7 separate regions of the Mus musculus genome follow, and regions 1, 3, 4, 5, 6 and 7 are each reported to be linked to region 2. The links are microRNA targets in miRTarBase. Many come from high-throughput screens and were not tested one by one. Region 2 holds a microRNA gene; each other region holds the end of a gene's coding sequence.

The links. The annotated mature microRNA mmu-miR-301b-3p reads CAGUGCAAUGGUAUUGUCAAAGC and lies in region 2 at 2,264-2,286, shown strand. An mRNA with a match to its seed (bases 2 to 7 or 8) in the 3' UTR can be bound and repressed. Matches are read on the target gene's strand: a 7mer-m8 pairs with bases 2 to 8, a 7mer-A1 pairs with bases 2 to 7 and ends in A, and an 8mer does both.
Region 1: the mRNA of Snip1 is a reported target of mmu-miR-301b-3p. Seed matches in the 3' UTR shown: 7mer-m8 at 2,126-2,132.
Region 3: the mRNA of Flvcr2 is a reported target of mmu-miR-301b-3p. Seed matches in the 3' UTR shown: 7mer-m8 at 1,973-1,979.
Region 4: miRTarBase lists Zfand4 as a target of mmu-miR-301b-3p. The part of its 3' UTR that is shown has no 7-base or 8-base seed match.
Region 5: the mRNA of Mtmr6 is a reported target of mmu-miR-301b-3p. The part of its 3' UTR that is shown has no 7-base or 8-base seed match.
Region 6: the mRNA of Pea15a is a reported target of mmu-miR-301b-3p. Seed matches in the 3' UTR shown: 7mer-A1 at 1,322-1,328 and 7mer-m8 at 1,551-1,557.
Region 7: miRTarBase lists Agfg1 as a target of mmu-miR-301b-3p. Seed matches in the 3' UTR shown: 7mer-m8 at 2,713-2,719.

Annotation. Positions count from the first base shown.
Region 1 is chr4:125,072,451-125,075,532 of GRCm38, reverse strand. It overlaps Snip1 (Smad nuclear interacting protein 1), which reads right to left. Exons shown (of 4, transcript NM_175246.5): 4 at 1,490-2,867. The coding sequence ends at 2,603. It also overlaps the pseudogene Gm18480. Among named protein-coding and RNA genes, the nearest start is that of Snip1, 7.3 kb to the right of the region's middle.
Region 2 is chr16:17,123,624-17,126,705 of GRCm38, reverse strand. It overlaps Mir301b (microRNA 301b), which reads left to right and starts at 2,210; the gene lies at 2,210-2,306. It overlaps 2610318N02Rik (RIKEN cDNA 2610318N02 gene), which reads left to right and starts at 1,504. Exons shown (of 7, transcript NM_001358255.1): 1 at 1,504-1,716. Mir130b (microRNA 130b) reads left to right here and starts at 2,564; the gene lies at 2,564-2,645.
Region 3 is chr12:85,811,785-85,814,866 of GRCm38, reverse strand. Flvcr2 (feline leukemia virus subgroup C cellular receptor 2) reads right to left here. Exons shown (of 10, transcript NM_145447.2): 10 at 1,282-2,825. The coding sequence ends at 2,748. Among named protein-coding and RNA genes, the nearest start is that of Erg28, 12 kb to the left of the region's middle.
Region 4 is chr6:116,329,151-116,332,232 of GRCm38, forward strand. Zfand4 (zinc finger, AN1-type domain 4) reads left to right here. Exons shown (of 10, transcript NM_001309446.1): 10 at 199-1,154. The coding sequence ends at 334. Among named protein-coding and RNA genes, the nearest start is that of Marchf8, 7.3 kb to the right of the region's middle.
Region 5 is chr14:60,300,179-60,303,260 of GRCm38, reverse strand. It overlaps Mtmr6 (myotubularin related protein 6), which reads right to left. Exons shown (of 14, transcript NM_144843.4): 14 at 890-2,988. The coding sequence ends at 2,740. Among named protein-coding and RNA genes, the nearest start is that of Mtmr6, 37 kb to the right of the region's middle.
Region 6 is chr1:172,196,132-172,199,213 of GRCm38, reverse strand. It overlaps Pea15a (phosphoprotein enriched in astrocytes 15A), which reads left to right. Exons shown (of 4, transcript NM_011063.3): 3 at 1-103; 4 at 524-2,486. The coding sequence ends at 588. Dcaf8 (DDB1 and CUL4 associated factor 8) reads right to left here. Exons shown (of 14, transcript NM_001357204.1): 14 at 2,821-3,082. Among named protein-coding and RNA genes, the nearest start is that of Pea15a, 9.1 kb to the left of the region's middle.
Region 7 is chr1:82,894,757-82,897,838 of GRCm38, reverse strand. It overlaps Agfg1 (ArfGAP with FG repeats 1), which reads right to left. Exons shown (of 13, transcript NM_001368850.1): 13 at 1-2,840. The coding sequence ends at 2,781. Among named protein-coding and RNA genes, the nearest start is that of Agfg1, 57 kb to the right of the region's middle.

The DNA of each region.
Region 1 (3,082 bases), not on the chromosome of region 2:
GGTTTCTAGGGCCAGCTACTTTGGGTGCTCAGATTGATGCTGGAGGACCACAGTGAAGACCTGAGGGTGTTAGGGGACAGGCAGAAACTTGCTGAGACAGGATAGCCAGTAGTTTGAGTATAGACTGGACTACAAGATGAATTCCCGACCGATCTACCTACAGTACGGTTTCAGATACCACTATCTCAGCTCATTTTCCTCTCGTCCACACAGCACCCAAACACAGTACAAGTATCTGGGATGGCCATCAGCATTTGCACCCAGTGAGCTATCTGTGATGTCAGAATAGGAAACAACGGAGGTGAGAGGACCAGGGAGGACTTTCACACAATTTATCTTGCGTGCCCACCCAGATGTGGAGGTCTGAGGACAGCTTGTGGGAGTTGATTTGTCCTTACACCATGAGGGTTCTGGGGATCAAATGCAGGCCACTGGGGCTGGTGACAAGCACCTCTACTAGCTGAGCCATCTCTTTGGCCCACTTCTGTAGAACCCGGGAGCACAAGGAGAAGTTGGTGTGGACGCTCAGCGGCAGAGAGCTGTTTTGCACACAGCTGTACGTCAGGTGGAGAAAGACAGTTAAGACCTTGCAAATAGTTAAGATGAACAAGTCTCTAAGAAAAGACATCTCGCATGACTTAACATGAAGCTCTTAACCTGGGACGCCAGCGCTCCACTAAGGCAAATGTTTGCTATCAGAACAACTGGGACATTTCTATTGAGATTAAAGTTTTCCTAGGTAGACCAGGCTGCCTCACATTCCACACGCCCTAACATCTACACCAATCCTCTTGCTGAATTCAGCCTCTCCAAGCTCATGGCTATAGGCATGAGTCGCCACTTCTGGTTCCTGGAACCTCTTTACAAAAAAAATGTAGGTAAAGTGGTCACCTTGCACAGTGCTCATCGAGAAAGCAAATCCACAAACTATCCCTGGGAAAGAAGGCACTGAAGTAGGGTAGCAGGTTATTGTGGATTCTCGGGCAGAAAATGGTGTCTGAATTAAGAAAAATATCCAAGATACACTGTGCTTTTCTTCCTAACACGTTCCTGGGCTGACCCTGCACACCGTAGGGACTGTGTAAGTCTCTTCCTAACACGTTCCTGAGCTGACCCTCCTGTGTTAGCCAGCCTCTAGCCCTGAGAACAAGTGAGACCCTGACTGTACAAACAAGACAGTCTACTCCGCAGCATCCTAAATCCCAGCCCAGGAGGAAGTTAAGAGCAGCCCAGGAGGATTGCTATCATCTCTACCCGGGGACAGAGTGGTCACCAAATGTAGAGCACTGACACAAATCCTTCCCTGACAGCTCATGCCCCACGCCCTCCTTGCTGAGATAAGCGATTTCTGTCCTCAGTACTTCAGGCCTCTCCCTACAATTCTCTACACACACAGTACTTTTACCTCAGAACAGTTTATAAAGATTCCTTTAGAAGCAAACACACCTATGAACAAGTCATTTATGTGAGAAAAGTAATACCCTCTAAAATGAGGCTATATTTACAAATTTTATTTTTTTAATCTCAAAAATACATATAAATGAAAACCTGCTCTCCAAATGCAGACAGGCCTTTGCCTATCATGTGGTATTATTTATATCGCAAAACACTGACATATGAAACCCAGCACATAGCTCTGAAGCACACAGACTGTCAGTAAGGAGTATCTTTCTACTCACAGATCCCAGGTGGGAAGTTCAGACACTCGGCTGTCTCTTACTTTCCACCCGTGGGAGGAAAATATGAACACATGGTCAAAGATGAACTGGAAGTGTGGAAGCTACACAACCTCGTTTAGACACATACACACATCCCTAGGCCACAGCAAGGCCCCTCCTACAAAGTCAGTGTGGTGTTTCTCAAAGGGAGAAGAGAGGCGACATTTGAATAAAAATTCAAAGCTAAAGAAAAAGACCAGATGATCAAACTATGATGTCTGCTTCATGAAGAAATCAGGAATCCTCAGGGTGCAGATCTACAGACCAGTGCACAGTATGACAGCAGCTCCTGTTGGTAGAAGCCACGACCTCCCTACAGTCTTGTCACACAGACATCGCACAGAGTGTCTGTTTATCGAAGACAGCCAATAGAGAAGTCACGTGGTAAACTGTCACCCCCAAAACGAAGTGCAAAATCAACTTCTATGACTCAAGAGCTGAATCAGGTCAAAGCTTTGGTATAGGCTGGAGGCTGTTTTGGTGACAACCAAAGCTGACTAAGATTCTCTACTCTAGGATTTGTCCCCAAAACAAAACTCCTGGTCCACAAAGCTCAACAGCTATATAAATAGGAAACTGTACAAAGAGAAGAAGCCACCATCCCCTTTCCAAGGGCAGTTTGCTATGCAGCAGTTCTGAAGGTGCCCACCACACGCTCTGACCAGACTCGACATGCTGTAATTGGTGAGACTGTTCAGAAAACAAGGGCCCACAAGCAGGCAGCTGCTGTGCCAACTTCAAGAAAACATGAAGTGACAGTTCTCATACTGCAACATAGGCTGGGCAGCAACAGAGAAAAGACTTAAGGCAAGAAGAGGCGCTGGAGTGACCACCACAGCCTCCGGTAGGGACGGTTTCTAACAGTAGAGGCTGCCTCTCAGCTGCTAGCTGTCAGATACCATTTCTTCCTCCTCATCATCTTCATCTTCCTTCCTGTCAAGTTCAGAGGTGTCTGAAGACTCATGAAGCAAGACATATTCTCTGCTACTGAACCCAAATTTAAGTACGTCTTTTTCTTTCAGTTCATAATATCTCTGTGGCTCAATACGCTTGTTGTTCAAGAATGTTCCATTGCCTGAGCCAAGGTCGATAATGTAGGGCTTCACCCTCCGACCAACCGTGCCGTCAGCACGGGTGTACTCCACAAGCCTAGGAGAGACCAAGGAGAGAAGCATGTGAGCATCCTACCTGAGACCACCTGCCTTCTTTTCTAAAGCTCTATGCTACAGATCTAAATGGCAATGACTTGGCTTGAACAGGATTCAAATGAAAATTCTGGAATGTCACGGGGAAGTACTGCCCTGATGGGGAAATTCAGAGCACTTTACATAACCTAGGAGAAAGGTAGGCTGAGGCTGTGGCCG
Region 2 (3,082 bases):
CAGCAAAACACTTTAATTTTACATTTGATTTTTATTTTTATGTGTATGGGTGTTTTGACTGCCCATATGTCTATGCATGCAATGGCTTTAGAGACCAGAAGACGATACTGGACTGGAGTTACAGATGCCTTTGAGACAACTTGTGGATCCTGGGCATGGAACCTGAGTCCTCTGGAAGAGCAGCCAACCCTCTTAACCACTGAGCCTTCTTTCTGGTGAGCCCCCTCTCTTTAAAGACAGTATTTCATGTAGTTCAGGCTGGTCTTGAACTTCTGGCTCTTTTCTCCACTTCCCAAATGTTGGAATTTCTGGATGTTTTATTTTGTATCTGTGTGGAGCGATGCAGTGTGGTGGCTGTATCCCCAGTACTGCAAAAACCTAGGAGGATTACCATAAGCACAAGGCTAGCCTGGTCTACTCTGTGAGTTCTCAACTAGCCAGCCGTGATATACGATGTCTCAAAAAACCAGCATTCTTTTTTTTCCCAAAGAAGACAAAACAATGTAGGGACTGAGATATTATGGGTCAGTGTTAATAGCATTGGTTGCTCTACCAGAGCATATGGGTTTCATTTCCAGCATGCATGTGTTTGCTTACAATCCTCTATAGTTTCAGTTGCAGAGGATAGAAAGCCTTTTGACCTCCCTGAACACTAGGCATGTACATGGTGGTACAGACAGGCAAACAAAGCACCCATACACAAAAAATTACATTTAAAATTAAGTGGACAAAATGAGTTCTTGAAGATCGAAAACCAGCTCTGTCTGCTTTAAAAATATTTTCTTTCAGCCTTTGAGCTGGGGGGTAAAGATTCCCTGTCTCATATGGATATAACTAGGGGTAAAGCTCAGACGCCAGCTGCAAAACTCTGTTTTTCCCTTCGCTGACAGAACTGAGTAGAACACCTCAGGTTCTGGGTGCTAGGTGCTGTGTATCTTTGGACATATTAGCTCAGAAAGGTCACTTAATGAACTCTTACCCATAAAGTGGTTCACATTCTCAATGACATCAATGACATCAGAGCATTTCTTCACTTACAAAAAGTGCCAGGGCCTCCTCAGCCCAGCCAGAGGTTTCCTGATGACGATGCTCTGAAGTTGGACAGAAAGAGGGAAGGCCACGGTTTTTAAGTAAATGTCCCATCCTGGAGGAGCAATGAACAAATTTCTCGCGAAATACGAAGCATCCCCTAGGGGTTCATTCAACCGCTGGCTTGGCCAAAGGACACTTTGCCGGGATCTCAGAGCCCTCGCTAATTTGGTGAGCTGTGTAGTAAGCATGGACGCGCCCTCATGAGTATCACTATAATAACTACAGAGAAATGAGCTGGGAAAAGGCGGACAGAGCTCCTTTTCAAGAGTTATGAATGAGGAGAAAGTGTTTGTAGAACTCATTGTTAAAACGGTGGAGCCAAAACTCGGGCGCCTGGCCAATCGGAGCCTGGAGGCTATTTTGAAATCTTTCCAGCAGCAGCCAATAGGTGCGCAGGAGGCAAAGCTTGGTGTAGGCGCAAGCCAATGAGGCTGGCGCTGTGCCTTGAGGCCCGGGGCTCGGCCCTCGGGACTGTCAGATGGTTAAAGATGGAGCCGAGGGAGAGAGGGCGCCACGAGGTGCTGAGGTGCGGGGTTGTCCAGATATGACGGGGCCGCCGCCTACCTGGATCTTCCACTAAGCTTCACCTTGTCCCCCTGGTGAGAACAAGAGGTGTCTGTCCACGTGAGTAACTGGTCTGGGATAGGGTGTGCGGTGAGGCCAGGGAAACTCCAGATGCCAGGAAGCCCTAGTTCTGCTCTTCTAGGCAGGAGAATCTGTTAGGATAGAGTGCAGAACTCATACTGGGGGAATGGACCAAGGACCGGATCTCGGACTCCAAGGGCCTCACGTGCAAGGAGTGAAGTATCCCTCTTATTCTAGTTCTGGTCTGAAACAGGGTACAAGTAGTCCCACTGTGCTCCCCTCTGCAACTGAGCGCAGGCCTCTCTCCTTTGTGTTTGAGCCCCCTCGGGTGCTCGCCCTTCAGCTCCCTCCTTGGAGTACCTCACCAGAATCAGAAGCCTGTTAGAGAAAGTTTGAGTTCCCTGAAGTTAATAAGTCCAGAGGACTGCATCCGGGCTGGAATCCCGTCTGTTCTCCGAGCTTGGATAGATGTCCCACCCACCCATGGTGGTTGAATTTCCAGCGCAGCCCTGCGTGCAGCGAGGGCGATGGATTTCCTGCTGGCTGCGGGTGCTCTGACTAGGTTGCACTACTGTGCTGTGAGAAGCAGTGCAATGGTATTGTCAAAGCATCTGGGACCAGCCTCGAAGACCACCTCACCTACTGTTCCTTCTTTCTTCCCTTTCCAGGCCTGGCCCCTCAGGCCTGCAGGCCGTACCCTCCCCCTGCTCATTTTACTCTCTTCTCCATGGAAACTTGAGATTGTAGCCAGGCCCGTGTCTCTGGGGTCAGAGGGCATCCTTTGCTCAGGCCGAGGCTCCGCCCAGGTGGGCATGCGTTCTAGGTCTAAGATCCCACTCCAGCCACCCCAACTCCCCATGCCCCGCCCCACCCCGTGAGACTGACAGGCTTGTTGGACACTCTTTCCCTGTTGCACTACTGTGGGCCTCTGGGAAGCAGTGCAATGATGAAAGGGCATCTGTCGGGCCAGCTAAGGAGCCTGAGGAACAAAAGGGTCAGTGCTTGGATCATAGTCTTAGATAGAGATAGCTATCTCTAGCTAAAAGGATAAGGTGGATGCTGAGAACCATATTCCAAGGCTGGAACCAGTACAAAGGGGAGACCCCAGATTTGGAAAGGCTCCAGTCTCAAGCTCTTAGCCCCCTCCCCCCAGGTTAAGATAGGGGAGTCTGCTGCAGGGGGCGCGGCGGTGAGTGAATGGTAGGTAGCTCATGCCTTAAATCTCAGCACTTGGAAGGCAAAGGCAGGTGGATCACCCAGATCTAGGGCATCCTGGTCTACATAGTGAGTTTTAGGACAGCCAGGGATACACAGAGAAACCGTGTTTTGAGAAAAACCAAATTAACTAATTAATTAATTAATCAATTAAAAAAGAAAGAAAGATTGGTGAGCCCATGTCTGGAGG
Region 3 (3,082 bases), not on the chromosome of region 2:
GGGGTCCTCAGCTGAGACTTAAATGCCCAGAAGGTGGGTGTCTTGAGATTCAATGTCCAGAAGGTTGTTTGAAGCATTAAATGCCATTGAGGCATTTTGAGCAAAAAGAGCAGCAGCTGTTGAAGGACTGAGCACCGTGAAGCTACAAGAGGGAGAAGGCTGTACCTGTGAAAGGCTGGAGGTCAGAGGAGGAAGTAGCTCACAAAGGTAAGGAGATGGCTGATGTCTTAGTTAAGTACATAGAGAGCATCAGCGCTTTAAGGGGGAATTTTACCTTAAATGACTTTAGACAGTAAAAATGCCGTGGCTGTTGTAGCAAAAAAAAAAAAAAAAAGTGGGCTTCCCGGGGTTTGGTGGTGCTTCGGTCGGGTCTCCGGCTCTCATTCAGTGCAGTCCTTCCAGCTTTGCCCAACTCTGGCTTGTGATTCAGGCTGGCTTCACTTGTAAGTACCAAAAGAGAATGTAGTTCCAGACCTCAGATCCCCACAGCACCAGAAAGGCAGCCCAATGGGAAGAGTTACCTTTATCCTCTCGCTGTTTTAAGAAGTGGGTTCCTCTGGAGACCACCTTTGACAGGGCTGAGCGAGTGTGTAAGATGATGGCTCCCTGAGCACACAGCTTACAAATGCCTTGACATGCGAGCCCAGAAGGGATAAGGTGCACTGAGCACATACTATGAATAGCAGACTCCTTAGGAACAGGGCTCAGTACCTCCCCTCTAACTGACTAGTAGAGTCGTGGTCTCTCCAGATAAAAATTGCTAAGAAATAGAGTGCCAAAATGTCACAGGCATGGGGCACATCTCAAGGTAAGAAAGATGCAGAAAAAGTGACAGCTGTGAACCTGGCTTACAGACATTAAGTCGATCAGAGTGGGGAAGACCAGGAGGGAGTACCAAGCTGCCACTGCCAGAACCAAGCTGCAGACACCGGCCAGGGCAAGCTGGTGTGGGTGGTCAAACAAAACACTTCAGTGCCCTTTGAGGCAGAGCCAAAGACAACACTGGGCCTTCCCTTAGGGAGGAGCCCATTCCAGCCTGTACACAGGAAGGGGGAAGTCAGGGTCACAGGGTGGCCACTGAGTTAGAGCTTCTATGTAGGCGGTCAGGAACCTTTAAAGTCTCTTTAAAATTCCCACAGGATGTTACACCCTTGTCAACAAAGGACACAGCTGCTCTGCCATTACCTGCAGTCATCTCCCAGACAGTCTTCTCAGGAAAGGGAGATAACCTGGTAGGGACCTCCCAAAACTGCCACTGCCTCACTAAATGATGAGGCAGACCACTTTGAAAATCTTTATTGCCTTAAAATATCTGGTATTGCACACAGGAAATACAAATTATGTTGTTTTTTTTAAATAAAGAAATGAATTAATAAAGAAATGAATTGAGTAAACACGTCCACTTTGAACAATTAAAGAAAAAACACCTTTCTCTTGACAGAAAGTAAGGCATCTCTTCCATCCCTAACACTCCCTCCACCAGGCGGCTGCTTCCCTCCCATCCACTGCACAAACACACACATATCTGGCCCGATACCCCAGTACTGCAGGCAAACGGGGTAATCTGGTATGCTAAGGCCAGACAACCCAACAGTCCATGACCAGAGTTGCTCAAGGCATAGGAACAATTAGCTGCCAGTTTCTCTTTGGGGAAGACACTATGAAAGCCCATGAGTATAACCAGCAGACTGGGTGGGTAAAAAGGTCAACTGAGATTGGTTTAAAAATAATCCTTTTAAATGTAAAATAACTGACAAAGATTCTCGCCAGCAGGGACAGGGAGGGGGTTTGGTTGTTCAAATAGTCCTCAACATGCATGGCCTCATGTTTAACTGGAGCAGACATGTCTATTTTAAGAGCCACCTTCTACCTCTCTCCTCCTGAGGAGATAGCCTTATGTGTCAGAGTAGAGTGAGTGAGACTAACTTTTAATAAAGGTTAGAGCCACGAGCCCCTGATGGCTGCATTTCACAGTGCAATATCCAATGAAGATATTCTGAGTGCTTTGGGACACAGAAGGCCATGGGCGAGCACCACCTTTGTAGGAAAACACCTTCCCATCCCAACTCAGCCCCACACACACTCCCGGCAGCCCCCTCCCTGCACTGTCGCACCTAGGCAGAGAGCCTTCTCTAATCGCTTTCTCCTTTGTGGCCACAAAGGTTTTATCTGGTTTATTGGTGTTTAGTCTCCTTGACTCTAGGAAAGACGATCTGAAGAAACACTGCAGTTTGGGGGGGGGGGGGGCAAAGCCAAGAGTCCGGATTGAGCTGCCTTGGGATGATGGAGGCCTGTTGGGGTGCTTCCTCTCGTGACCCTCAGGCAGAGCAGTTCGCCCATTTGCAGTAAGAAGTGCTCTTAAGACATTAGAAAAAGTTAATATCCTGAATAAGCTTTCTTAGGATAATTTTGCAAGCATTCTCCACGAGAGAAGAAAGGGATGAGAGAAGGCAAGAGACCAAGCAAGGACGGACTTCAACACCTCCACGGCCTCTCCCAGCACTAGCCCAAGACCTAAAAGGGAGTGGGGACCAGAATCCAGTCTGCATCTGAAGAGAGGTGAGGTTTTCCCCGAGTAAACCATGCAGGTTCTCGGGTAGGGTCCAGTAGGCTCAGGCACTGCCGTGCGAGGCACACATCTTCCAGCTGCTTCGAAAAGTTTCCCCATGAGAATCTCAGTACTGGCAGTAACAGCTAACTGGAACCAAGAGGTGAGTGTTTGTGTTCCTGAGTATCTGCCACCTCTCTCAGAGATGAGCCTCCGACACGACGGGTACCTTGCTGGTATTGCTCCCCTCCTCCTCCTCTTCCTCCTCCTGGACTTTCTAGAAGGCAAAGAAAACAGCCCTATAATTGAAACATACAGACCTCCTCCAGGCTGACTGAAGCAGCTACCTGTCCGCGACCAATCAGTGGTAAGTCCAAGCTCAGGAGGCTGCCCGGTGTCCCCATAGGCATGAGGAAAGAAGCAGCCCAGCCTGAGTGTGTCCCCCAGACACCATCACCGTCACCATTCAGAGGGAACAAAGCCAGCCTTCTATTCCCTAGCCCCAAACCCACCTCTCCATGTCACCATCTAAAC
Region 4 (3,082 bases), not on the chromosome of region 2:
AGATGTATAGCTGTCATTCATGAACAAGTAGTTCTTTGGGGGCTTTATACTGCTGCGTGAAGTGGGGGGGGGGGAACTGTTGGTACTGAAATTGCTAAGGAGATCCAGAGGGCTTTGTTGGTCCACTTTAAGTCAAGCTAAAGAGATGAGCCCTCCGTGGAAATGTGAGTATTCACATAAAGTTTCTTTGTGCTTTAGATGTGGAAACAACTTCTGTGCATCTCACCGTTATGCAGAAGCTCACGGCTGCACTTACGACTACAAAAGTGCAGGGAGGAGATACTTAGAGGAGGCCAACCCTGTGGTCAACGCACCAAAACTTCCCAAAATCTAATTCTTCTCTGCGCTTTACTGCTTTGCCTGAGGAATCGATTATATTTGACAGAGAAATATTGTTTAGACTGCATTATTTTTGTTCGACTCCAAAAGATTTGCCAAATAACAAGCGCACATAGTGTGCACTGTTGGAGACTGAAAATGCCTACTGTATTGATGTCTTTATTCTTTGGTGAATCAAAAGTTTTAAAAGTAGTTTTAAAAACTTTACACTATAATGATTTAGTTTTGTTATTGCATGTCTGTGTTAAGTATTTTACATTTGAGATTGGAATTATTAGACAAATCTTCCAAAGATGCACTTTAGGAAGTTGCTATTGGCCACATAACTAGGCTTCCATGTTGTACAGCAGTGAGTGGTTCCATATGGCTCTGTTCAAACTGAGCACATTTTGCCTTTTTTCTTTCTTTTCTTGGGGGGATGGGATAAATGGGATATTTTTTAAAGAATAAATCCCGCATGTGAAAGTTTATGAAGGTTACTAGCAGGTTCTTTTTAAAAGAACATTTGGTTTTTTTTAAACATGTGATTTTTAACACATATATTTCTTCCATATTCAGATTGGCATTCATATATGTATCCATTCTGTAGAACACATCATGTTAATATAGTATACATTTAAAAAAATACTACTTTTTAAATGGTAGTTTTAAAATAACAGTATCTTACTTGTTGCCATTGAAAAAAGAATCCAACTTTTCACTTTCAAAAATGGCTATATATATATTTTTTTAAAGTCTCACAAACTTGGTTTATTTTTCTTACATATTGAGTGCTTTTACAGGGGAAATTCAAATAAATATTCAACTTCACTATGACTTTATTTGATTATTTACAATACATTTTCTTTTATAAAGTACTTAAATAAATAACTGATTTATTATACTTGGGGGAAATGACTGGCAGTATAAAGGTATTATTTTAAGGTCTGAGGGCTTTGTTCTTAGGTAGAATGAATTTTCTATTCAGGACTTTGGAGGGCCATTGAAGCTAATGTTGAATGTGAGGCAACAGCTGTCAGGCGGCTAAGTTAGGGGCTGCACCCTTGTTTCCCACAGGGGCTCCCAAAGGCCATTTTAGTGTGTCATAGACCACTCACTCCACTGAGGGTTGCCTGGAGAACTCTTGATACTCCTCTCTCACGTCATAGAGGAGATTGAATGGTGAGGGACAGACCTGCCATCAGACCTATAGTAAAGGAGATTAGTTAAAGAGAACGGTAATAGAGGAAGGAGCCTTACAATTAAAGATGGAGGGTATGCTTTTGTTTGTTGGTTTGCTTTGTTTTTTGTTTTTTGAGATAGGCTCTCAAGACTGTAGCCAAGGCTGCCTTTGACTCACTGTGTAGCCCAGGCAAGCCTTTGAATTCGCAGCAGCCTTTAAGCCTCAGTCTCTCTTGTGCTAGGATTATAGGCTGGAGTTAACACTCTGCTGAAGACATGCTTTGTATGTGTGGCACATGAGTGCATTTGAAGGATACATGAGGCCAGAGCAGGATGTCAAGTGAGCTGCACCAACAGGTCATTCTTCAGTGGCAGGGTCCTCAGTGAGACAGGTAGGAGATGAGAAGGTGGGGACACTGGTGTTTGGAGATCTTATGCTTAGCAAGCTTAACAAGTACAGCATCTTAAATTCTATTTCCACAGCAGAGTAGGACAGAGTTAACAGAAACTATCGAATAATGGAATGAAGTTAGCATGAAGTGAGTCCAGCAATGTTGTACAAAAGGGAACACAGGCTTCCTCAAGTTCATCACAACAGAGCACGTAGTGGCCTTAGGACTGATTACTCCAGCCTCTTTAGGGGAAAAAGCCAAGTTTCTAGGGACCAAATCCTTTAACTCCTCTGAGGCCCTGGCCCCAGCACCAGCCCAGCCCTTGCCAAGTCTACTTTTGGGCAAAGACACAGCAGTAGGTTCCCTTTGTCTTTTCACTGGTGCCTCTGAGAAAGCCTTAGACCTGCCCATCCCTGAACAGTTAGGTATCTATCATTCTCCACCATATTGACTTGAAACAGGTTTTTGCCATGTTGGCTGCCATGCTGGCTAACCAGCTCCCGGGACCTGCCTGTCCCTGCTTGTGGTCACCCTGTCAATGTTGTCATTATGGCACTTGGAGCCATGCCCAGCCACTGAGCATTTGCCCATGCTTGCTTGCAGTGTAAGCGCTCAATCACTGAAGTGTCTCCCTAGCCCTGAAAGGCATGCTTTTAGAGGAATAAGTAAAGGGTAATGACATATCTGTGAGAAATTATGTCTTTTCTCTCCTTTTTTTTTTCCCCCTGAGACAGGGTTTCTCTGTGTAGCTAGCCCTGGCTGTTCTGGAACTCACTTTGTAGACCAGGCTGGCCTTGAACTCAGAAATCCACCTGCCTCTGCCTCCCGAGTGCTGGGATTAAAGGCATGTGCCACCACAGCCGGCTCATGTCTTTCCTCTCCTACCAAGTAATAAATATGGTTTAGAAATATATTTTTAAAAATGCCAGGAGGAGGTAGCTCACACCTCTAATCCCAGACTCACAGGCAGATCTCTGAGTTTAAGGCCAGCCTGGTCTACAGAAAAATACTGTCTTGAAAAAAAAAGCAACAAAAAACAAAAACAAAAAAACCAAACCAAACAAAACAAAAACAAAAAAAATTTCATATGCACAGGCACTGAAAAATGAACCAAAGCATATTTATTATATAAATATGAATATGTAGTTAGATTGGATATATGTTTTGCATACTTTTAGCTCATAATTATT
Region 5 (3,082 bases), not on the chromosome of region 2:
TGGTGGACCCAGGCTTCCACCTGCAAGCTGGTAACAGCACAGATAACCGGCCACGGACCAAGGCACTTCTACAACTTCATCACTCTCTACTGAACCTGTCAGCCACAACCTGGTTAATTATTCAGAAAGCATGGTTGTATATAAAAGGAATGTGTCAATACCTTTGGAAAATGAAATGCTAAAACTCCACTGTGCTAAGGTAATTATAAGACCCTTCGCCCAAGCAAGGGGAAAAAAAGCACAACTTTGTTTTTTGTTTTTTGTTTTCCCTGTTTAGACTGGCTTGTATGTACACGATTTCAGGGCTGACCACTTGCAACTGGATTACCATTTTCTAGGCTCAACACTGGGGCAGATGGATTCTCCTCTCTCAGCAATGATGAATTTCCTGTGGTCTTAGGTCTCTGGTGAGGTCCTGTGAGACGTTCCGCATCCATGTTGCCATGTCAACTGTTGATGTCACTGTTCAGGCAACCATATTGTTGTGGTATGATGGGTGTGCAGCTTCCCTGTCATTTCTAAGAAACACAAAATCAAGGCATATTTCCTGGTTCTCTGGCTCTTACAGCTTGCCTAATCTTTCTGTGCACCCTCCTGCTGTGTCCCCTGAGCCTCCTGTGCAGGACTGTGCTGTAGCTGTGTCAGCTGGCATCGGGCACTCTGTGGTCAGCTGCTCTCAGCATTTTGGGCACTTGTGGATTTCTGTTATGGTCTCCATCTGCTACAAAAAGAAGTTCCTCTAACGAGGGATGAGAGCTCCACTCATGGATCCACAACTGGATTTAGCATGCAGTTAGGAATCATGCCAGTTCAGTAAAGTGACAGTGACAGGTTCTCCTCTAGGATCCTTCCTCATTTGTTTTTTATCCCAAAAGAAAAACACTCAAAGTAAAGCATGAACATTTAATTGCCTTTAAATAATACATGAAATAATTTACATGCTATACATCCCAAAACACAATGAACATAAATCTAATTTTATGAGACATTTACACAGACTTTTGCCAACGTATGTCCTGTACGTCACTCAGGATGTTTTCTGTGTGAGCATGTAAACACATATATACATGTGAAGTTGAAAATTAGCATAAGGAACCCAGAAGATGACTAGGAAGTCTGCCACAGAAGTCTAAAACCACAACTTGACTGGAACCAAGGCACAAAACCCTCCTGTTGTGGACACAGAGATTAAGTTTCCTTTCTCAATGTCTAAACACTGTTCATTATACATTGTAATTTTTAGTATATTTCTGTTACTTTTTAAAATGCAGTGTTTTTATTACATAAGGTCTTACAGAAGTGAATTGGAAAAATAAGGACTAGATAAAATCATATACGATAAAGCTTTCCTTTTTTTTCCCAAAAAAAAAAAAAAGATACATATGTTCAAAACTAACACAAGAAATACTACAGATATAGGTGTGGTCAGGAGGTATATAAGACAATGTACACAGATTTTGTAGTGCCCCTGAACTGTACCTCACACACCATCAATGATATTAAACTTTGAGAGCCAGCTGGTAATACTGACAGTTGTAAGTGATTTTTTAGAAAAGATATGTATGCCCCAGTGCACAGAATAACAATGAGCCTATAAAGCAAAATAAACCTTTTCCTGCGTCAAAGCTGCTTCTGTTGGACATTAGCTGGCTCCCCCAGTGCTCCCTTCTCTGCCCCTCCTATATTAAGAGTAAGGAAATATGCTCCACACAAAAATGATTGCTTTAGAATTCGTAACCAAGCAAAATCTCCACTACCCGCACTTCCCTTTTTCCTTTACCTGAAAGTTTATAGGCAGCTACAGTCAAGTTAAAAATGTATTTAGTACTCAGAACGCTTTAGAGCTTTGCCACTTTAAATGTACAGTTATCAAAGGATTAAAGCCAACCACAGAGTAAGAATTAATAGACTGCAGTAAGCCGAAAGTAAATGCCAAATGTGCTTATACTAGCCTAAGAAATGAGTCCTCTAAGCTGTGAATAATGAACTGTCAGCTGCAGCTTGGAACAAATGACAACGAGAACAAAGCCTTCGGTAACACTGATTTTAAATACGGGTGGAGCTGGCTAATTACAAACTAGCAGAGTATGTCTACAACTTTCCATGGTGGAGCACTGCAGTGTGCGGCCCCCAAGTAATCAGAGTGCAGTTAGTTCTTCATATGAAATAAGGCTGATTAAAGGAGAGATCAAACATCCTGTCCTCGGCTATAAAACCCACAGAATAAACTGAGAGTCTACTTTAAGGCTGTCCCATAAGTACTTTTCATGGCACTTTAATGTTAAAACGTCACTATATTTTTGACTATATATTTGGATTTTTGTGACTGCAAAATCCACAGTCACACAGCTCCAGAACTGAAAGCACATGCCACATCAGTCACTGAGGGTTCAGGTTGTCAGGTCTGTTTTCTCAGAGTTAGAGGAAAGCTACTGAGCGTGGCTGGAATTAACATCTGAATCAACAGACTGTCAGCTCACCAGTCCTGTGTAACCCCTTTCCAGTACATACACACACTAGCACTCACTTCCTACAGAAATGAGTATGTTCTTGTTACAAATGGCACTTAGCTGACTCACTCCTCTCAAGAGTTGCTATGATCCTTTTCTCAGCTACCTACTTTCTCACTTACTGCTAAGCCCCAAAGTCACTCAACAACCCCTCCTGCCCATGTGTACAGACCATCCTCACAACTATACATTTCTTACACTACAGTCATCCAGGGATCACGGAAGGAGGCTAACAAGTCATTCTGGCCACCCCGTACTCCAAGCTGACCACGGTAGGCTCCGACTTAGAAAATTCCTCGGCATAGTCACAGTAGCGATTATCTGCTGGGCTGCTGCCCTCTATAGCTCGGAGTGTGTCCTTCACGGGAAGCAGACTCGGCTCTTTGAGACACAGCGAGGTTTTCAGGGCAGGTGATTCAGGGTGGACAGCATGCAGCAACTCCTTCGTTAGGATGCCATTTTTGCATTGCTTAATTTTCTAAAGCAAAACAAAACGTTGAAAAAACATTAGTAACTACAGCTAACAGGTGATCGATCTACATGGAGTGAAGAAAATATGCTTTTACAAGTGT
Region 6 (3,082 bases), not on the chromosome of region 2:
CTCACTATGGTGGTTGACTACAGAACCCGTGTGCTGAAGATCTCTGAGGAGGAGGAGCTGGACACCAAGCTAACCCGTATTCCCAGTGCCAAGAAGTACAAAGGTAAGAAGCCATACCTTTGGCATAGCTCTAGGTCTCCCTTCCCTGTCTGACTATATATATATGCATGCATGTATGTGTGTGTATATATGTATATACTATATATTGTATAGTATATGTATACTACATATACTATTTATTTATTTTATTTATTTATTTTGGTTTTTTGAGACAGGGTTTCTCTGTATAGCCCTGGCTGTCCTGGAACTCACCTTGTAGACCAGGCTGGCCTCGAACTCAGAAATCTGCTTGCCTCTGCCTCCCAAGTGCTGGGATTAAAGGCGTGCGCCACCACCGCCCAGCCTGACTGTATTTTTAAGAGTAGAAAGTCATTCTGAATTTGGGGAGAGGTTGATGCTTAATGGGCCTGCCTGCCTGCCTGGCGACCTCCATCCCTGGGAACACCCCCCTTTTTTTTTTCAGACATTATCCGGCAGCCCTCTGAAGAAGAAATCATCAAATTGGCTCCCCCACCAAAGAAGGCCTGAACAAGGGGGAGGAAGAGGAGGAAGGTTGGATCTTCATCAGACCACTCCCTTCCCCATCCTCAATGGGAGGGGCTAGGGCAACCCCCTGCTCCGTACCCATTTACTAACTTGGTCCTAACCCTTACTATGCGCGTGTGTGTGCGTGTGCGCACGCTCTGGCTGTCTGTCTGTCTAGCTCATCTAGTTCCTCCTCCTCATGAGGGGATTGGAGGCAAGGGAGGGGGGGCTTAAATCCCCCCACTATAGGGGGAGGTGGACGCTTTTTCTATGTAAACAGAAATTGGCACATTCCTCCTCCTTCTCCCCTTTCCTCCACTCTTCCCCCACATCTTTATGGAAGCAGAAAGGACCTGCATTTTCCTACACTGAGGAGCTATGGTGAAGATGAGGTATGGGAGAGATGGTTGTATCTAAAGAAAACCAGTGGGGAAGGAAGGTAAAGAGGCCACTCAACCTCCACCTGGTAAGGGACAAAGAAAAGCCAGGACTCAGTGTTTGTATCTCTATGCTGGACTGGTTAGAAGCCAGCTTCCTGCTGTTCCCTTAGGCTGAGGTCCTGAGTGCCAATGGGCCCTCCTTATGCCCTTGTTATGGGCCTGGGATGCGGATGAGCCAGAAATCTTAATGAGAAGACCACTCGATCCTTTCCTGGTCCCAAAGATCAAACCCCAATGGAGAAGCCAGCATTTACTGTCCCCCAACCTTCTGCTCTGGAGAGACGATGCCGGGACCATGCACTACTGAGCCTGAGCTAGGGACGCAGGCAGAGACAGGCCCACTTTCTGCTCCTCAGTTTCTAAATACAGACTGTTGGATAAACTGACCTGGAGCCTAGGGAGATTGGGGGATGAGATCCTTAGGTTTTAACCCCAACCTGCCCACAACCTACAGAGTATTGTAGGCAACCTTTCCACTCTCCAGTTTAGAATTCTCCAAGCAAGTAGTTAATTACAGTGTTTCCTTTGCACTGACCACCACCCTGATTCAATCCAGGAAGGGACTGGTAACCTTTCTCATTTGGGTTTGTGGATGCCACACAGTCAAGTCACTAGAGTGCAGTGAGTGAACCCAGCCTCCTCCCTGTCCCAAGATGCCCTTCCCCATCTTGACCGTGCTAACTGTGTGTACATATATATTCTACATATATGTATATTAAACCCGCACTGCCATGTCTGCCCTTTTTTGTGGTTTTTAGCATTAACTTATTGTCTAGGCCAGAGCGGGAGTGGGAGGGGATGCCACAGAAAGGAAGTGGCAGAGCCAAATTGTTACAGAGTCCAAACAGAAAAGAACACATTTCAACTAACCACAACAAATGTTACATTTACATGTGAGCTAAGAGACAATTTAGAGAAAGATGAAGGTAGGTGCTTTTAGGATGTGGGAGCAAAACTTCACAGGGAGGGGAGGAATGGCTGTCAGAAGAGGGTTCTTGAAGCCAGACTGACTAGAGCACCCTCAGTTCCTAGCTGAGCCCAGATTGCCCATCTCCTCTGGCCACTGCTGCAGACACCTGCCTTAACTCTCACACCTCGAAGACTCCAGCTTTGCCTTAAAGGTCCTTCCTAAATCTCCCTAGTCTTGCCTGGCATCTCCTTTAAGACAAGAAATCCTTGTACAACTGGGTGGGAGAAAGGAACTCTGGGTAACATCCTTCCTTCTGGGGTGTTCCATGGGAGCAGGAGTGAGACGGCGCTTCCCTTATGGAAGAGGGAGGAGACAGGGTGCTTCTCAGAAGCTTCTCTGTAAGGCAAAAACCAAACTTTAAACAGACTAACCTGCCCTAATATACTCACCCCCTCGTGCTGCTGTGAGGTTGCTCCTAGCCTGTGCTCCTCTGTCTGCAGCGTGCACAGCCTTGTTCTAACCCTGGAATAAAGGTGACTGACTCTACCGTACCTGACTGATTCTAGAATCTCTGTGGGTCACTAAGTTTGGGAAGCTCTGAATGACTGGGAGGGGGTGTGTAGCCATGTTTTCCCTATCACCACTCACTGCAGTATAGAACAAGGGACTAGAAAACAACCCCAAAGAAAGTGCCCCATCTCTTAAGCACCACTGACATTAACAGACCTATTTCCCTTACAACATTCTTCTATGGCTCAAGCACTAGAAACAGGGATATCCCAGACTTCACTTTTTAAGTATGAGCAAAATCAAGCATGTATCTGGAAGGAATACACTGTACACTATGTCCTCTATCACAATAAATGGACCACATACCACACAAAGCAGCAGTCAGGGGAAAAGCTTTACTGAGAAAAAAATACAACAAATTCCAGAGTGCATGGTTTTAAGCCCACCTCATCATCCCTCTAGCAGTGAGGACATAAGACTACTACTCAGTTACCACACACTCCCTGCCACGAAGGAAGCCCAGGAGCTGGCATCTGGCCTGCGCTGCTGGATGGGGTCAAGAGGAAAGAGTGTGTAGGATACCACCCTCCGCTCTCTCTCCAACTTCCATCCCATGGTGTAGGCCTCCTGACTGGAC
Region 7 (3,082 bases), not on the chromosome of region 2:
ATCAAATATCTATGGTAACAAGTAATAGGGCTATTACAGTCAAATCTAAAAGGTGTGCTTTAGAAATCCCTCTGTATTTATTTGTAATATACTAACCTTATGAAAGCGTCAAGTCTCATAAACTAAAGCTCCTGCCGGGACCATCAACAGTTATAAGAACTATGACTGTGAAACAGCTTGTTTCATAAATGCCAGCACAGTGACTGTCTGTACACAGCCAGCCACTCTCTCCACTTTGCAACTGACGGGAAGAGTTACCAAGTACCCCCCATAGAACGGGTATTTAATTTACAGAACAAATGATCTTATGGGAGATGACAAACTAACCTCTATTTAAAAAAAAAAAAGTCTAAAATAAAACATTCCTTAAATCATAAAGACCAAGATGATTTTAAATTTATCAACACAGAACTTCACTTCTGATGAGAGACAGAGCAGGAAGTGTGCTGTGAGCACTGAGCCCACACTGTGAAGACCCTCAGCCATCACTCTGAGCACTACCCTTTCAATGCTCAACACAGTGCCGAAAACTAGAAGCAACCCCAAATTTAAGCCTAAAAGATGGGGAATTTTAAAAGACAAAAACCATGCGAAGACCCACTGTGACACTGGAACTGCTCTGAACCTAAGAACTTCTATTTTTACTATAGGCACTCACTGGAAGTCAGAACAGTCCCTCCACCCCCACTTCATTATACACCTCAGAGCTTTTTGAAAAAATAGTCTTTAAAGTTATTTTGATAACTGTTTAATTTACTCAATAGATGGAAAGCCTGGTGGGTCATCTGGGTAATGGCCTATAATTATATAGTTTAACTTGTACATATGAATTGATTTGGATCTGACACAATCTCAAACCAAAGTTTAAAGATTTAAGTTTTCCCTCCATGAAAACAGATGAGATCCCCAAAATGTACAAAGAGTTCAAGACTATGCCCAAAATGCAGGCAAGCCTCAACAACACCAGCTAGATTCTCAGTGGCAGGTTGGTCAGAGGGGACTAAGTCTCAGGCACGTCACCTGTCAAGTACATACAAAGCACAACTTCCCAGTAAGGATGGCACCCAACTGCAGTGCTTAAAGTAAACACCGCGACTTTAGAGTATGAGAATAGACAGCCATCACTGCAAAAATACATCCACTATAAATACAACATGTGAGAAAAGTGATGCTTATATCACTTAAACCAATGCTTTAAAATTTTTTTAAGTTACTTTCTAACAGGCATTACATACTGTGTATGCAATTTCAGCTTTTTTGATGGCACAGAGTTACTACTTCTCAACTGGGCTGGCTGTCCCTACGGAGCCTTTGGCAGGACGTGCTTTCCATCCTTGTTCTGGACCCTTCCTTTCGTTAACATTAATATGCTATGGACCAATAAATCAAGTTACCAAACTATTAAACACATTCAAAGAAATGCATATACTCTACATACAAAATTCATAACTTAGGGGTATTGTTCAAAGATTTCTTTTTAATCATTTCAATTCTTAGTTGTATTTGGTTTTGATGAAAGGGCCAGATTATCCTGGGATGAACGAGGCATTACTACATATAAATATTTAAACAGTTCATTTGAATATTAACAAAAAGATAAACTAAAATTAGTATTGCTACCTTTTTACACAAGTATTTCATCACTTTAAGGTAACATTGGGTTCCTTTTTCTTTATCCCCAAACCAACAGAAACAAATGTTTGATAGATAGTATCAGTCTGTCCAGAAAGTGAGGGGGGAACCTCAGGTGCAACCATGTCACAGTCAATGCATGTCTGCTTCCAATACATTCAAAGACAATGAAAACAGAGGGGAAAATAGTTAAAGTAGGCCTTTTGCAGTCTGAGAATTCAAGATCTTTAAAAAATATTTGTAAATACACATACATGCAAATTCTCCATATTTACAAATTTCACAAAATTAAGAAGTTGCAGAGAAATTAGAAGTAGCATGGTGAATCTGACAAGCTACATTTAAATGCTTTTCCACTGTCACATTCCTGAATATAGCAGTCCTAGTAGTTTTAATAAATTTTCTACATGGCCTTTTAAAAAAAGTTAGTCACTAGAAGTCTTTAAGAGTTCAAGATGTTCTCAACTCACTACTCATTACATTTAAGGCCACTTTGGTAAAGGCATTGCAGCAAGAACACAAAAACAATAGCATATTTTCTAAGATTTATTTTGTTCACCTGCAAACTGTAGCAAAACATGATCAGCTTTATTCCGCAGACAGGTGTCCTCCACATCTTTAAAGAACTTAGCCGTGTATGAATAGAAGAGCTCTTGAGAAGGAAAAATTCAAGAATGAATAAAACCTTCCAATTTGAATTTCCCAGAAGCAATGCTTCAAATGATTTTAATCATTCATTCCAAGCTATATGACAGCACCTTAAAAGTGGCTCATCTATTTCCCCAGTAACATTTCTCACATAACAATGTGTTAAAGTTACAAATACTGATATGCACAAATAGCTAATTTCTAAGAAAAATATGTACAGTACTGCAGCATAATGAATGTGGGATCTGCAATAACTTAACATTAGCCAATTTTTAACTTACATGATGCCGCTACCTTTTCCTGCCAATTCACAAGTGAAAAGTTGTTGCTGAGCCCTCTGTTTTGCACATATTACCTGGTGTTTAATACACAGTGCAGGCATTTTAAGGACTTCTTTCATGTTTAAAGCTAAGATCAGTGAAACAAGACAACAGTGCAAGAGGCGAAGAGATGTAATATGGTCACATAAACGTTCGTTCCGGTACAGAGTCTAAGTAAGGCTATAAGAAAGGGTTGGTGGATGAGCTTCCTGTTGGAAGTTGTCCTGTCGGCGCACCAGTCTGTCGGGAACAAACACAAGGACAAAGTCAACAGATAGAAATGATGTCGGGATGGGATGAGATGAGAGCTTTCACACACATGCACGGCTTGAATATGCCTAAAGGGGAACCTAGCACTTAAAGAAGAACTTGTAAGTTCAAATAAAAAAATTTCATTCTTAGGACTCCTCTTCCCTAAATCTAGCAGTTTCTCCTCAAGCATAATTTGACAAGCGTGCATGCATTTCATGATAAAACAGCGA